3 linked regions of the Cricetulus griseus genome follow. The protein of the gene in region 1 binds, or shares a complex with, the protein of each later gene. Links are inferred from orthologs where the notes say so. Each region holds a gene or a part of one and is shown in the gene's direction. Other genes may lie near its edges.

Region 1 (4,101 bases):
TTCAGGTGTCCTGGCCTGATCTGCTGTTATGACAGGAAAAAAAAAAAGTCTCTTGCCAGTCATATCCTCTGTAATCTGGCAGGAAACCTAAAATGTCCTGCCGCAGTCCTATGCTGTAGGCTTATCTGCTTCCTTGGGAAGAACGCGCATCACAGTGTCCGGTTTAGGGGGATTTTCACCATGACCTCACCCTCTCCACCATTCACTGACCTCAGCAGGCATTACCCAAGTCACAAATGAAGCTCGGGTGGGATCCACATTAGCGAGCCAGCCACCAGAGACCTTGCTAGCACATCTCACATGAACAGCATCAACTCTAACTCTTCTCAAACCAGGGCAGGTATCAATAATGCCCTGAACTGCTCCAGAGGGGTGTTGATCAATAAGACATTTGACATCTAGATATCCTTCTAGACTCAGGATGGTAGAATGGCAAGGGAGTCGCTGCTAATTAAATGCGTGGGCTTGGATTAAAGCGCTTGCCTGTAATCCCAGCAGTGGAGAGGTAGGCTGAGGCAGGAGGATTGCCACAAATTTAAGCCAGCTTTTGCTGTACGATGAAATCCTATCTCAAGAGTTAAAATAAGGGGGGGGTGGTGGAGTGGGGGGACAAAATGTGATGAAGGAAGGAGGAGGCACCCAGGAACCTTCCAGGCTTGCGGTGGTCTGTGCGGTAATGTCCCAGCCAATGATCTCAAAATAGGAGGTGACAGCAGGCGGCGGGCGAGTCACTAGGGGAAAGGGCAGTGAGAACTGCAGAGAGAAGGAGTCCCTAAGAGAGTGGCATCGGGATGGGCTCACTCGCCTCGGGGCTCCGGGAAGCGACGGCACTAAAGGGAAACAGAAAGTCCGGCCCGGCAGGCGCGCGCCCAGCCCGGCCCGCGTGACTCGCGGGGGGCTCCGCCTCTCACCGCGCGCGCTCCCGGCCGCAGCCTCCTCGGCCAGCGAGCGGTGGGGGGGCGGAGCGGGACTCGCGCCGGCCTCCCCAGCGCGGCGTGCCTGCGTGCGCGTGCCCGTCGGGCGACGGGGGCGTGCACGCCCGGAGGGCCACCGCCCCTCCCTGGGCCCGCCCTCCCTCCCACCCCTCCCACCCTCCCCCGGCCGGCGCGGCCCGCCCTGGCGAGTCAGTCCTCGGGTTCCCTCCCTCCCCGGGCGCGCTCGGGCCGCCGCTGCGCTCCCCGCCCTCCAGCCGCCTTGCCGGAGCCAGCCGCTGCCGGAGGAGGAGGTGGAGGAGCCGCAGGGGCCCGCCGAGGCGGCGGCGGCGGCGGCAAGATGGCGGACTTCCTGCCGTCGCGCTCCGTGCTGTCCGTGTGCTTCCCGGGCTGCGTGTTGACGAACGGCGAGGCCGAGCAGCAGCGCAAGTCCAAGGAGATCGACAAATGCCTGTCGCGGGAGAAGACCTACGTGAAGCGGCTGGTGAAGATCCTGCTGCTGGGTGCGGGCGAGAGCGGCAAGTCCACCTTCCTGAAGCAGATGCGGATCATCCACGGCCAGGACTTCGACCAGCGCGCGCGCGAGGAGTTCCGCCCCACCATCTACAGCAACGTGATCAAAGGTGCGGGGGCGCGGCGGGGCTCGGGGACCCGGGGACCCCTGGGGAGCCGGGCCGGGCACCGCCCTCACCCGCCGGTCCCAAGTCTGAGGACACTGGATCGGACCAGATCGGACGGGCGAGCCCGCGAGCGAGCGAGCGAGCGGGTGGGCGCGCCTCGGGCGCCGTCCCGTGCGCCGCTGTGCCCTGGCCCCTCAGATCCGGGGCGCCCCGCTGTCCCCCCGTGCTACCCCAGTGAGGGTCACGGTCGGCCCCGCACCCCTCGGCTGGCCTCGCCCCCTCCGAGAGGGAAGTGTGGCGAGCAGGGTGACTCCGGGCAGCAGGGCGACTGGTGTCCTCCCAGCACACCAGACAAGCCCACCCCATCAGCAGCCCCAGGTCCCACACTCTCAACCCCTCCCTCTTCTCCCCGCCACGGGTGGGTGGGTGGGTGACCCTAGAAACCGGCGCAGATACCCTTCCAGCTCTGGGCTTCCTAGGCCACCTCTTGAGTTAAGCAAGTTCTGGAACCGCCGCAATGAGGAAACTTTTTTTTTTTTTTTTTTTTTTTTTGCCCTGAGACTCTTGTCAAGGGCATAGAGTGACAGCCTCTGGGGCCTTTTGGGGCAAGAGGTATGAAACTCAAGGGTGTCGAGTTTACTGAACTAGCATCAGGAGAGCCTATTAAAAAAAAAAAAAAAAAAAAAAAAAAAAAAAAAAAAAAACCTAGCACAAGTGGTTTTATCGCCCCAGTGCTACAGGATGTTTGTACTCAACAGTTCAACATGTTGCTTTCTTTCTCTTTTGCTTAATAACTCGGAGCAGGAGGGGGAATAAAACGGGCAACATTTCTAATACTTAAATGAATGTATGTTTAACTACGAAGACTCTTTGGCTTAAAAGTCATAAGAGACCTACAGAAGTTAGTGAATATGTGTGGTGTTGGATCATGGGCGTTACAAATTCTGTTTGACAATATTTTAAAATTAAAATATTGTTCCTCAGTGAAAAACACACGACATCTTTATTTCCTAGCATTCAAGGAAGTTTTGGAGGTGGCTCTTGTCATTTGAAATATCACCTTTCTTAAAAATTTTTCTTTAGTGTTATGTATCTTCTACATAAAAGACATTGTCAAAACTGAGGCACAGAGCCCTATGTTTTGAGTGATTAAGGAGTCACCCTGTTTTATCTGGGACTTCGAAGCAAACTACGATCGTAGATCTTTTCAGTTGTTATGTGGCTTTATTTTTTTTTAAGTGGGTTTTTTGTTGTTGTTCAGGAAGTACATGAAGCAAACCCCTTCATGTCTCTCCTCCCGCCTCTTCAGGATTTCAAATGGGGAAAAACTAGAGAGGGAGGCATTGTAGGGCAATGAGGGGAGAAGGCTAGGCCAAGAGCTCACAGTCCACGGCTCTTTCTTAGCCTGTACCTCTGCAGTTAAACTGTAAAGAGTGCTTGTATTTAGTCTGCCCTAATGTTTAGCACAAAACTAATTAAGGTCTCTTCTAAGGCTGTAGTGTACCTTGCTAGCCCATAATTGAAGGTACCTTTGTATCCTGATGCAGTTGAACTTAAAGAATTATGTTAATGAATAGACTAAAGTATTCACTGTAAGGTAAACACCTGCTTTTTTGATATATACTGGGCCTAAGAATTACTTTGAGCATTATTGTGTGATCAAGCCTAAGTCTAACTAGGCATCTTATTTTCTTGGGGTGATCAGAAAGTTGAAAGCAAAACAGTTTTTTCATGTATCCCAAGAAAGGACTTCCTAATAGATTGAGACAGAAGTAACAGTTTGGTGCTAAGAGTATTGAGTTTGAATTGACCTAAGTAAGTGGAGACCTCTGTTTGTGTATCATTTTGCAGTTGGTTTGGCTTTTAGGTAACTGTAAAGCCAGCAGGTGACTGTACTGATTTGAAACTGAGTCTGAGAGTGTCCTGGAAGAAAGTATTGGTAGGAGCTGAAGGACTCTGACTGAACACAGTGACTCAGGGCTGGGCAGCATTATTTATTTTTTCCATTTCTGGTTTTGACCTCCTTCCACTTCAGACATGATTTTATGGATGACAGCATATTAAAATCCTTCCAAGAGAGATTTTTGTTATCGATATTTACTTTCCAAGGCTTCTACTTTTAAGACAATGAACAATTGTTTTTTAAACCTCTGAGAAGATAAAGGTTCTGTTTTGATTCTGGTCTCCATTTAGGGAGTGGGGGTTCTGTAATAGCTAAAAAAAATTAAGGAACCAATACTGAATAACACTGGGGTGAAAGGTTGTGATGGTATCTTAATGACTCTTCCTCACATTTTTTTTTTTTTCCTTTTTAAACAAAGGTATGAGGGTGCTGGTAGATGCCCGAGAGAAGCTTCATATTCCCTGGGGAGATAACAAAAACCAGCTCCATGGTGACAAGTTGATGGCATTTGATACCCGTGCCCCCATGGCTGCCCAGGGGATGGTGGAGACTCGAGTTTTTTTGCAGTATCTTCCTGCTATAAAAGCCTTGTGGGATGACAGTGGTATACAGAATGCCTACGACCGGCGCCGGGAATTCCAACTGG
Region 2 (2,880 bases), on another chromosome or scaffold:
CCATAGGTTCCCTGGAGACCAAAGAGGAAATGAGCCCTGGCTCAATCTAGCGTGCATTAACCTCCCTGTCTGCAATCACTGGGCTGGGTGCTTGTCCATTTCCAGTGTGGGAAAGGAAAACATGCCTTCCATGTTTCTAAGGCAGACAGCCAGCTAATGCCTGACTCTCCCTGGTGAACACAGTTCTTCCCCTCCCGTCATCTTCCCCAGCAGGAAGCCCCTGTAGTAAAACTGAGAGCTATGATTCATCCAATTCTCCAGTCTTTCCTGGTACCCAGCAACCAACAAGGGGGTGGGCCAGGCGTCCAGTGTGCCTGGGCTCAGCACTTGCTGGCAGTTTCTTGTGTTAGTTGTGGAGTCACACTGACGCCGCTATGGCGGGGTAACCGAGGCTGGCCTGACAGCGGGATGAGACGGGAGTGTGATTGCTGTGCCACCGGCCATGTCCTAAGTGTCCACACTGCCCAAGCCTACCTGGGTGGGGCTTGATGGGCTCAGTAACCCTCCTGGGCCTAATTGTAGGGGGTAGACAGGCAGTGGAATGTGACCGTGGGGACATTCCTGACAATGGCAGTGGCATGGGCCTCTGAGTACATCCAGGTCCTGGAGGGACAGGGCTATGACCACTGAGAACTGTGTACCTACACCCTGATCTCAGACACAAACCTGGGAGGGGTCCTTGGGGTGATGCAGGCCTGGTGGTGGCACCTCAGGAGTTCCCACGGCTTCCCAGAGGTGATCTCAAGTCCTATATCCCCTCTGTTGTCCTGTGCTTCGGGGACAGACCAGACAGAGTGGGTGCTGGCCATATCTGTGAATCAAGTGGAGGTGTCTTCTTGCAGCCAGGTTGAGGGCAGAAATCTGCAAGACCCAGCCTTGGGATCCTTGGGCCCATAGGTGGGGCTGCCTCTGAGGCCTCCCTACTGAGAGTTGCATGCTGAGTGAGGCTGATGGCGTCAGTCCCTGCCTAGGACAATTGGAGGCTTCCTGGACGGGACCTGTAGACACTCCTTCCTTCCCCTTTCCCCTGCAACAGGTTGGCCTAAGGAGAGAAAGGCCAGGGAGATGGGAGGAGTCATTCTGTCTCTAGCTTTGACCTGGTCACTGCAACATTAGGTCTTCCTCCATCTCTGGAGGCTTTGGTCTCCCTACCTGTCCAGTGAGAAAAGGTTAGGCCTTGAGGGTGACTTTGAGATTTGTACAGTTTCTATGGTTTCTTGGGAAAGGGGAGTTTCACACTGTGTTGCATGCTTCCTCCATAGCTCCTGTACAGAGGTGGGCAGGCCTTGGCACAGGAGTTGGGCCTAACCCTGGGCTCCTCCTCCTACCAACTCTCACTGACTTCCTGACCCTCCTGCAGCCCCGGGACGATGAATGCAACTTGCAACAGCAGCGTGTGGAGTGAGTCAGTCAGCTACGTCTTCGGCATCTACTCAGTTTTGCTGCTGGTGCTGGGACTGCTACTGAATGGCCTGGCACTCTGGGTATTCTGCTGGCGCATGCAGCAGTGGACGGAGACCCGAGTCTATATGACCAACCTAGCTGTGGCTGACCTCTGCCTACTCTGTTCCTTGCCATTCATGCTGTACTCCCTGAGACACACTTCAGACACACCAATCTGCCAGCTCTCACAGGGCATCTACCTGGTCAACAGGTACATGAGCATAAGCTTGGTCACTGCTATTGCTGTAGACCGCTATGTGGCAGTGCGGCATCCGATACGTGCCCGTGAGCTTCGGTCCCCACAACAGGCCGTTGCAGTGTGTGTGACCCTCTGGGTGGCAGTGGTCACCTCCCTGGTAGTGCGCTGGCGCCTGGGGCTGCAGGAGGGTGGTTTCTGCTTCAGGAGCCATACCCGGCACAACTTCCGCACCATTGCCTTCTCACTCCTGGGCTTCTACCTGCCACTGGCCATAGTGGTCTTCTGCTCTTTGCAGGTTGTGACTGCGCTGGTGCAGAGGCCAACCACTGATGTAGTGCAGGCAGAGGCCACCCGCAAGGCCACCCGCATGGTCTGGGCCAATTTGGCTGTGTTTATCATCTGCTTCTTACCACTGCATGTGGTCCTGACCGTGCAGGTCTCCCTGGGCCTGAACACCTGTGCTACCCGTTACACCTTCGGGCGTGCCCTGTCCCTCACAAGCAGACTCTCAGATGCCAACTGCTGCCTGGATGCCATCTGTTACTACTACATGGCCAAGGAGTTCCAAGATGCATCCATGTCAGCCACCACCTCCAATACACCGCACAAGAGCCAAGATTCTCAGAGCTTGACCCTCACCTAGAAGTGAACCTGTTCCATGGACCAGAGGAGTCTGTGATGTTAGCAAGGAGCCCCCAAAACAGCCTGAAGCTAATGTGGGTTTTGAACACTCTAGGAAACCCAGGTGGCCTAGAGAGTCTGTATAGGAGGCTCCTCTGAAGGGACCAGAGGACTGAGAGTCTAAAGACCAACTTGAAGGACCCTGGAGCAAGACCACATACCTGCCACCCCAGATCTAGAACCCCTGAGGCACGAGAATGGGGCCTCGGTGGCCAGTCACTGGTTTTAGAATAGAGCTGTCTCCGGGAGATGGTCCTGGCAGGGCCCTTGGTGTCACCCAGATGCATGTGGTAAGAGGCAAAGAAGGAACATACAGCTCAAAGAGCTAGGAGACATCTTCTGAGAGGACCCTCTAATGGCTGTTTCCTTTAGGGACCTCCAGACTTCATGCCTACTGTAGGGTTAGGCAGGAGGGCAGTACCTATGGTCTGGAAGGCTGTCATCTACAGCACATGACAGCTCGGGATACCCAATGGCCATAAAGCCACACTCATCAGTAACACACTGCTGTTGGAGCCCCGGGCCTCTTGGTGGTGTTTCCATTTATAGTGGGCCTG
Region 3 (4,343 bases), on another chromosome or scaffold:
GGTGCTCATTGAGTCATCTCTTTTGCATCTTTAAACAATTTCACTTTTAATTTTATTATTTGTGTGTGTGCACGTGGGTGTATGCAGGTGTCACAGCAGGCCTTGGAGGTCAGAGCACAACTTGTGGGAATTGGTTCTCTCTTTCTTTTATGTGGGACCAGGCATCAAACTCAGACTTTCAGGCCTGTTGGCAAGCAAGAGCCTTTACCCACTGACAGCCTGCTGTTGTTTTTGTCTTTCTTTCTTCTTTTTTTTTTTTTCGAGACAGGGTTTCTCCTTTTTTCTTTTTTTATTAATTAATTTATTTTTTTACATTCCAATCCCAGTTCCCCCTCTCTCTTCTCTTCCTCGTCCCCTCCCCCCCACCTCCCATCTTCTCCTCGGAGTTAGGCCTCCCCTAGGAAGTCTACTAAGTCTGTCCCATCATCCCCTTAAGGCAGGACCAAGGCACCTCTCCACCCCCCACACCCCTGTGTCTAGGCTGAGCAAGGTTATCTCTCCATATAGAATGGGCTCCACTAAGTCATTTATCCTGTTATTGCTTTAAAATGCATTTATTATTATTGTACATGTATCTGTGTATAAATGCAGGTGCGACAATGCCACAGTGTCATGTGGAGGTCAGAGGCCAACTTTGCTTCCAGGGACTGAACTCAGGTCAGCTTCCAGGCAAGCACTTTCCCCTGCTTAGTGAGCTATATAGCTGATCTGTTGTTACTCTTAATTTTGGATTTTTTTTCCGCTCTGAGTTGTTTGGAGGGAAGGAGACAACAGGATCATGTAGTCAAACCTGCTTCTACTTCCCAAGTGCTGGGATGAGAGGCCCAAGCCGCCATGCCCTGCTTCTGCAGTGCTGAGGATAGAACCCAGGGCATTGTGCATGCTAGGTAAGCACTCCACCGCCCGAATCCACATCCCAGCCTGTTGTTTTCCAGAAGGGTCTCACTTGCCCAGCCAGTCCTGGCGAGTCTGAACTTCCTGATCCTCCCAAATCCCAGGTCCCAGGTGCAGGCGCATGTGTCACCACACCCAGTTCTGTTTTGGGGGCTGGGCGCGGCACAAAGTAGGAATTTGTCTCTTGAAGGACCACATAGTAGGTGCTTAATCCTGAGTTGCCGAGCCCTCCCGTAGTAGGTAAGCACGATTTCCTCCATTTCCAGGTCCCAGGCAGAAGCCTGGAGCAAGGCCTTCAGTGTCTTTCGAAGGGAACAGTTGTTTCAGGTCTAGGCCACCTGGGTTAAGAAAGGTGTGACGTCACGCGACCGTGACATCATGAGATGGTGGTTCTCACGGGTGGGGGCTGGGAGGGACAGGACTGGAGGGGGGGGTGCGGACAAAGGGGCCCTGCGCTTCCCCAGCGCGCGCCCTGGCTGACTGGCGGACCACATCTGGAATTCATTGCAAGTCGCCGCCGGAAAGAGGAGGAGAGGAGGGCGGGGCGAGTAGGGAGTGGGGGCCGGAGGCGGCGGCTCTGCCCGCCTCCCTCTTGTCCTGGGTCCCCAACTCCGGGACGTAGACCGAGCCCAGCCAGCAGCCTCCAAACCCTACCACTGGCTGTCCCGGGGCGCAGACGCCGAGGCCACTCAGGCCAGGGCAGGGACCCCGGCCGGCCTAGCCAGGTGAGCTCGCGGGGCCAAGGGGAGGTTCCGATCTGGGCGGGCGGCGCGCGGTCCGCTGAGACGGCGGGGATCCTAGGGGGGGGCCGAGCCCGGGGTCAGGCGCTCACACAGGCTTAGCATGCGCTGCTCCAGGGTCTGCTGCACCGATGGGACCGATCACCCTCCCCCGTGCACCGTGGCCACCGCTCCGGGCAGTTTCCCACCTACTCGGTGGCGCACCCCCAGACAGAGCTCCCCGCCTTCCTCGGGGCAGGAAGTTGGTGTTGAAGAGAAAGGCGGAATCCAAGTACTTTGGGTTGGCGACTTTGCAAGACAGGATGGGGGCTCTCAGGAAGCCGGGTTTGGGGCTGTGGGGTTGTTGAGGAGAGGTACAGCATCTCTTCTCTGTCTCCGGCTTGAGCTAGGACGAAAGGTGCTACACGCGAGCGGCCGCGGCGGACGCTCCGAGTTCATGGGCGGGGTCCCCAGGGAAGGCCGTCGCCCCACCGCCTGTAAGGCTATTTTTTTTTTTGCCTCAGTTTCCCTGAGTTGCCCTCTCCCGCGGTCTCCCCTTCGGGAGCATTGTTTTGTTTCAGACGGAAAGGAACAGTACTGCATAGTCCAGACGCCTCCTTTTCCTATCCTAGCCCAAGGATGGGGCATAGGGGCGAAAGAAGGCACGCGTGGTGTGGAGTCCACATTGTCGCGGGCTACACAGTGTTGGGACCTCGCCCCCTTCTCTGGCACCGGTTGACTCACTCGGGGATTTCCACCTCCCCTCCCCACCCCCGTCTCTGTGCTTGTTAGATGCCCTAGGCGACACTCTTCTGAGCCCACGGTCCCCTGTGGCAGGGCATGGGAGCATCACTGCGGGGGGCGGGGGACAGAGGGGATGCAGCTGCTGCAGCTTGGGTCTTCCCCTCTCTTCAGTGCCCGGGGAATCTAGGTGTGGGGGCCCTCTGATGGGATGCAGAGGTGTCGCCTTCCCCTGTTGCATGGTGCGGGGAGGGGAGCATCCTGCTCGCGTGTCGGTGTCGGGGTCTCGGCTGAGAGATGGCGCCGCCCCAGAGAGTGTGGATACCGCGCATTCCTCGGCCTGATAAGGAGCCGGAGAGTGCTGCCTGGGCCGGGCGGGTCTTACCGTCGTCGCCATGGAGACGCGCCAGGCTTCGCCTAGTGGCTGAGTTGGGGTGCTGCTAAGAGGACTGAGATGTCCCCAAGCTCTCCTGGGAGCCCTTCCTCCAGTTTAGGGCCCTTTCATTCATTCTTGTGTCTGTCTCTTTTGCATCAGGGGTGAACTTGCTAGCCGGCCTCATGGGGTACTGTGGAAAACAAGACAATTTTTGATGATTAAAGCTAGATGCTCTGATAGAATTCGGGGATGGGCTGGGCTGGGCTGTGCACGATGCCCCAGGCCTTTAATCCCAGCACTCCCGGAGACTGGGGCAGGAGGATTCTTGTGAGTTCAAGGCCAGCCTGATCTACATAGAGAGTTCCTGGTCAGTCTGGATACACAATAAGACCCTGTCTCGAAAAGAGAAGGTAGTTTCTGAAGACCTAGAAAGTGGCATTCAAATAAAATCCAAAGATGATATAGTCTGCCAGAAAACATGTTTGAGTGGGGGTGGGGTGGGACGGAGGAGTGTCTGTAGGATATAGGGAAGGCCCTGAGATTCAAATGGGCCTTGGGAGGCTAGTGAGGGTTATCCATGGGAGCAGGAGTTAACCATTGGAGCCCTAGGGAGCCATAGAGTGAGTAGGTGGGGAGTGAAGATTAAGTTCTCAGTTCTGTCAGTTCTCCCCTGCAGGCCCTGCAGGCAGGCGGGGTGGGCAGCAGTAGTGGGAGGGGCTGCAATCACACAGCAACCAAAAGAGAGAAAAGGTGACTGCAGGGTTGAAGTTGGCCAGCTGCTGGGGAGGGATGGGTGAGCTCTGGAACTGGGAAGGAGAGGAGCAGAGCCACTAAGCCACCAGGCCTTCCTCCAGCCTTCCTCTCTCCTAATCTTTAGTCAGGCAGTCATGTCTGGATATCTGCCTTCCCTCTCCAAAACCTCTCACTCGTCTCTTTTCCTTGTGTTCTGTATCCTAAACCCAGGGCTTCAAATGATGCTGTCCCCCTGAATTATATAGAGCTCGCCTTCTTACTTTCAATTATTTATAGACAGAGTCTCACTATGTAGTTCTGGCTGTCCTGAAACTCACTCTGTAGATCATGCTGGCCTCAAATTCACAGAGATCCACCTGCCTCTCTCTCCCAAATCCTGCAATTAAAAGAGCACTGCTACACTGGGCTTTCTAATATATTTACATTTTAAAGGTTACATTTATTTACTTTGTGGGTATGCCTATATGGGCATGTGTGCTTCATGGCATGAGTGAGGAGGCCAGAAGCTTGGTGACAAGTGCTTTTAGCTGAGCCATCTCGACATCTCCCAGCCCACCCCTTTAATTTCTACTTGCCGTCGTGACCCGCACGTCTCAGCCTTAACCCATAAGGTTCGGCCTGAGCGGAGGTGTGTGGACCTGGAAGCTCCTAGCAACCCAGCGGCGGTAAAGCCCAAACACAGGCATCTCGTCATCTTTAGAGAGTTCTCAGTTCCATGTTGTAAAACTAGAGTCTTTTCTTTATTTGCCATCTTTTCGGCTGTTTCTTAACCATGCTTCTATGACCACGAGGAACCCAATTCTGTCCTTCCTCCTCTCCTCTCTGGTCCCTCGCCCCTAACTCTTGTCCTCACTTGTTGC

What was found. The genes of interacting proteins can lie anywhere in the genome.
Region 2: the proteins of Gna13 (region 1) and Gpr35 are in contact, whole or in part, in a cryo-EM structure (PDB 8H8J), measured with the Homo sapiens proteins. The link is inferred for Cricetulus griseus from reciprocal best matches to the Homo sapiens genes GNA13 and GPR35. Residues at the interface, in NP_006563.2 of Homo sapiens: Lys46, Arg47, Leu48, Val49, Lys214, Asn215, Val216, Phe218, Arg331, Gln337, Gln338, Lys340, Pro341, Leu342, Tyr343, Phe359, Arg360, Asp361, Lys363, Asp364, Ile366, Leu367, His368, Asn370, Leu371, Lys372, Gln373, Leu374, Met375, Leu376; in NP_005292.2 of Homo sapiens: Phe45, Gln51, Thr53, Thr55, Met59, Asp113, Arg114, Ala117, Val118, Pro121, Leu122, Arg123, Arg125, Arg128, Ala197, Leu198, Arg201, Pro202, Thr204, Asp205, Gly207, Gln208, Ala211, Ala215, Met218, Val219, Ala280, Lys281, Glu282.
Region 3: the proteins of Gna13 (region 1) and S1pr2 are in contact, whole or in part, in a cryo-EM structure (PDB 7T6B), measured with the Homo sapiens proteins. The link is inferred for Cricetulus griseus from reciprocal best matches to the Homo sapiens genes GNA13 and S1PR2. Residues at the interface, in NP_006563.2 of Homo sapiens: Arg47, Val216, Phe359, Lys363, Asp364, Ile366, Leu367, His368, Asp369, Asn370, Leu371, Gln373, Leu374, Met375, Leu376, Gln377; in NP_004221.3 of Homo sapiens: Ser66, Met68, Tyr69, Leu72, Arg130, Ala133, Ile134, Lys136, Val137, Lys138, Leu139, Tyr140, Tyr209, Ile212, Val216, Ser219, Gln227, Thr228, Leu231, Leu232, Val235, Tyr288.

Annotation. Positions count from the first base shown.
Region 1 is NC_048600.1:122,211,466-122,215,566, forward strand, and holds the start of Gna13 (guanine nucleotide-binding protein subunit alpha-13), read left to right. Parts: upstream 1-1,272; coding exon 1,273-1,555; intron 1,556-3,873; coding exon 3,874-4,100; intron 4,101-4,101. UniProt on the Homo sapiens protein: Guanine nucleotide-binding proteins (G proteins) are involved as modulators or transducers in various transmembrane signaling systems.
Region 2 is NC_048595.1:444,456,494-444,459,373, forward strand, and holds Gpr35 (G-protein coupled receptor 35), read left to right. Parts: upstream 1-1,293; 5' UTR 1,294-1,370; coding exon 1,371-2,285; downstream 2,286-2,880. UniProt on the Homo sapiens protein: G-protein coupled receptor that binds to several ligands including the tryptophan metabolite kynurenic acid (KYNA), lysophosphatidic acid (LPA) or 5-hydroxyindoleacetic acid (5-HIAA) with high affinity, leading to rapid and transient activation of numerous intracellular signaling pathways.
Region 3 is NC_048597.1:133,844,685-133,849,027, reverse strand, and holds the start of S1pr2 (sphingosine 1-phosphate receptor 2), read left to right. Parts: upstream 1-1,448; 5' UTR 1,449-1,619; exon of another isoform or gene 1,620-2,920; intron 2,921-4,343. UniProt on the Homo sapiens protein: Receptor for the lysosphingolipid sphingosine 1-phosphate (S1P). S1P is a bioactive lysophospholipid that elicits diverse physiological effects on most types of cells and tissues.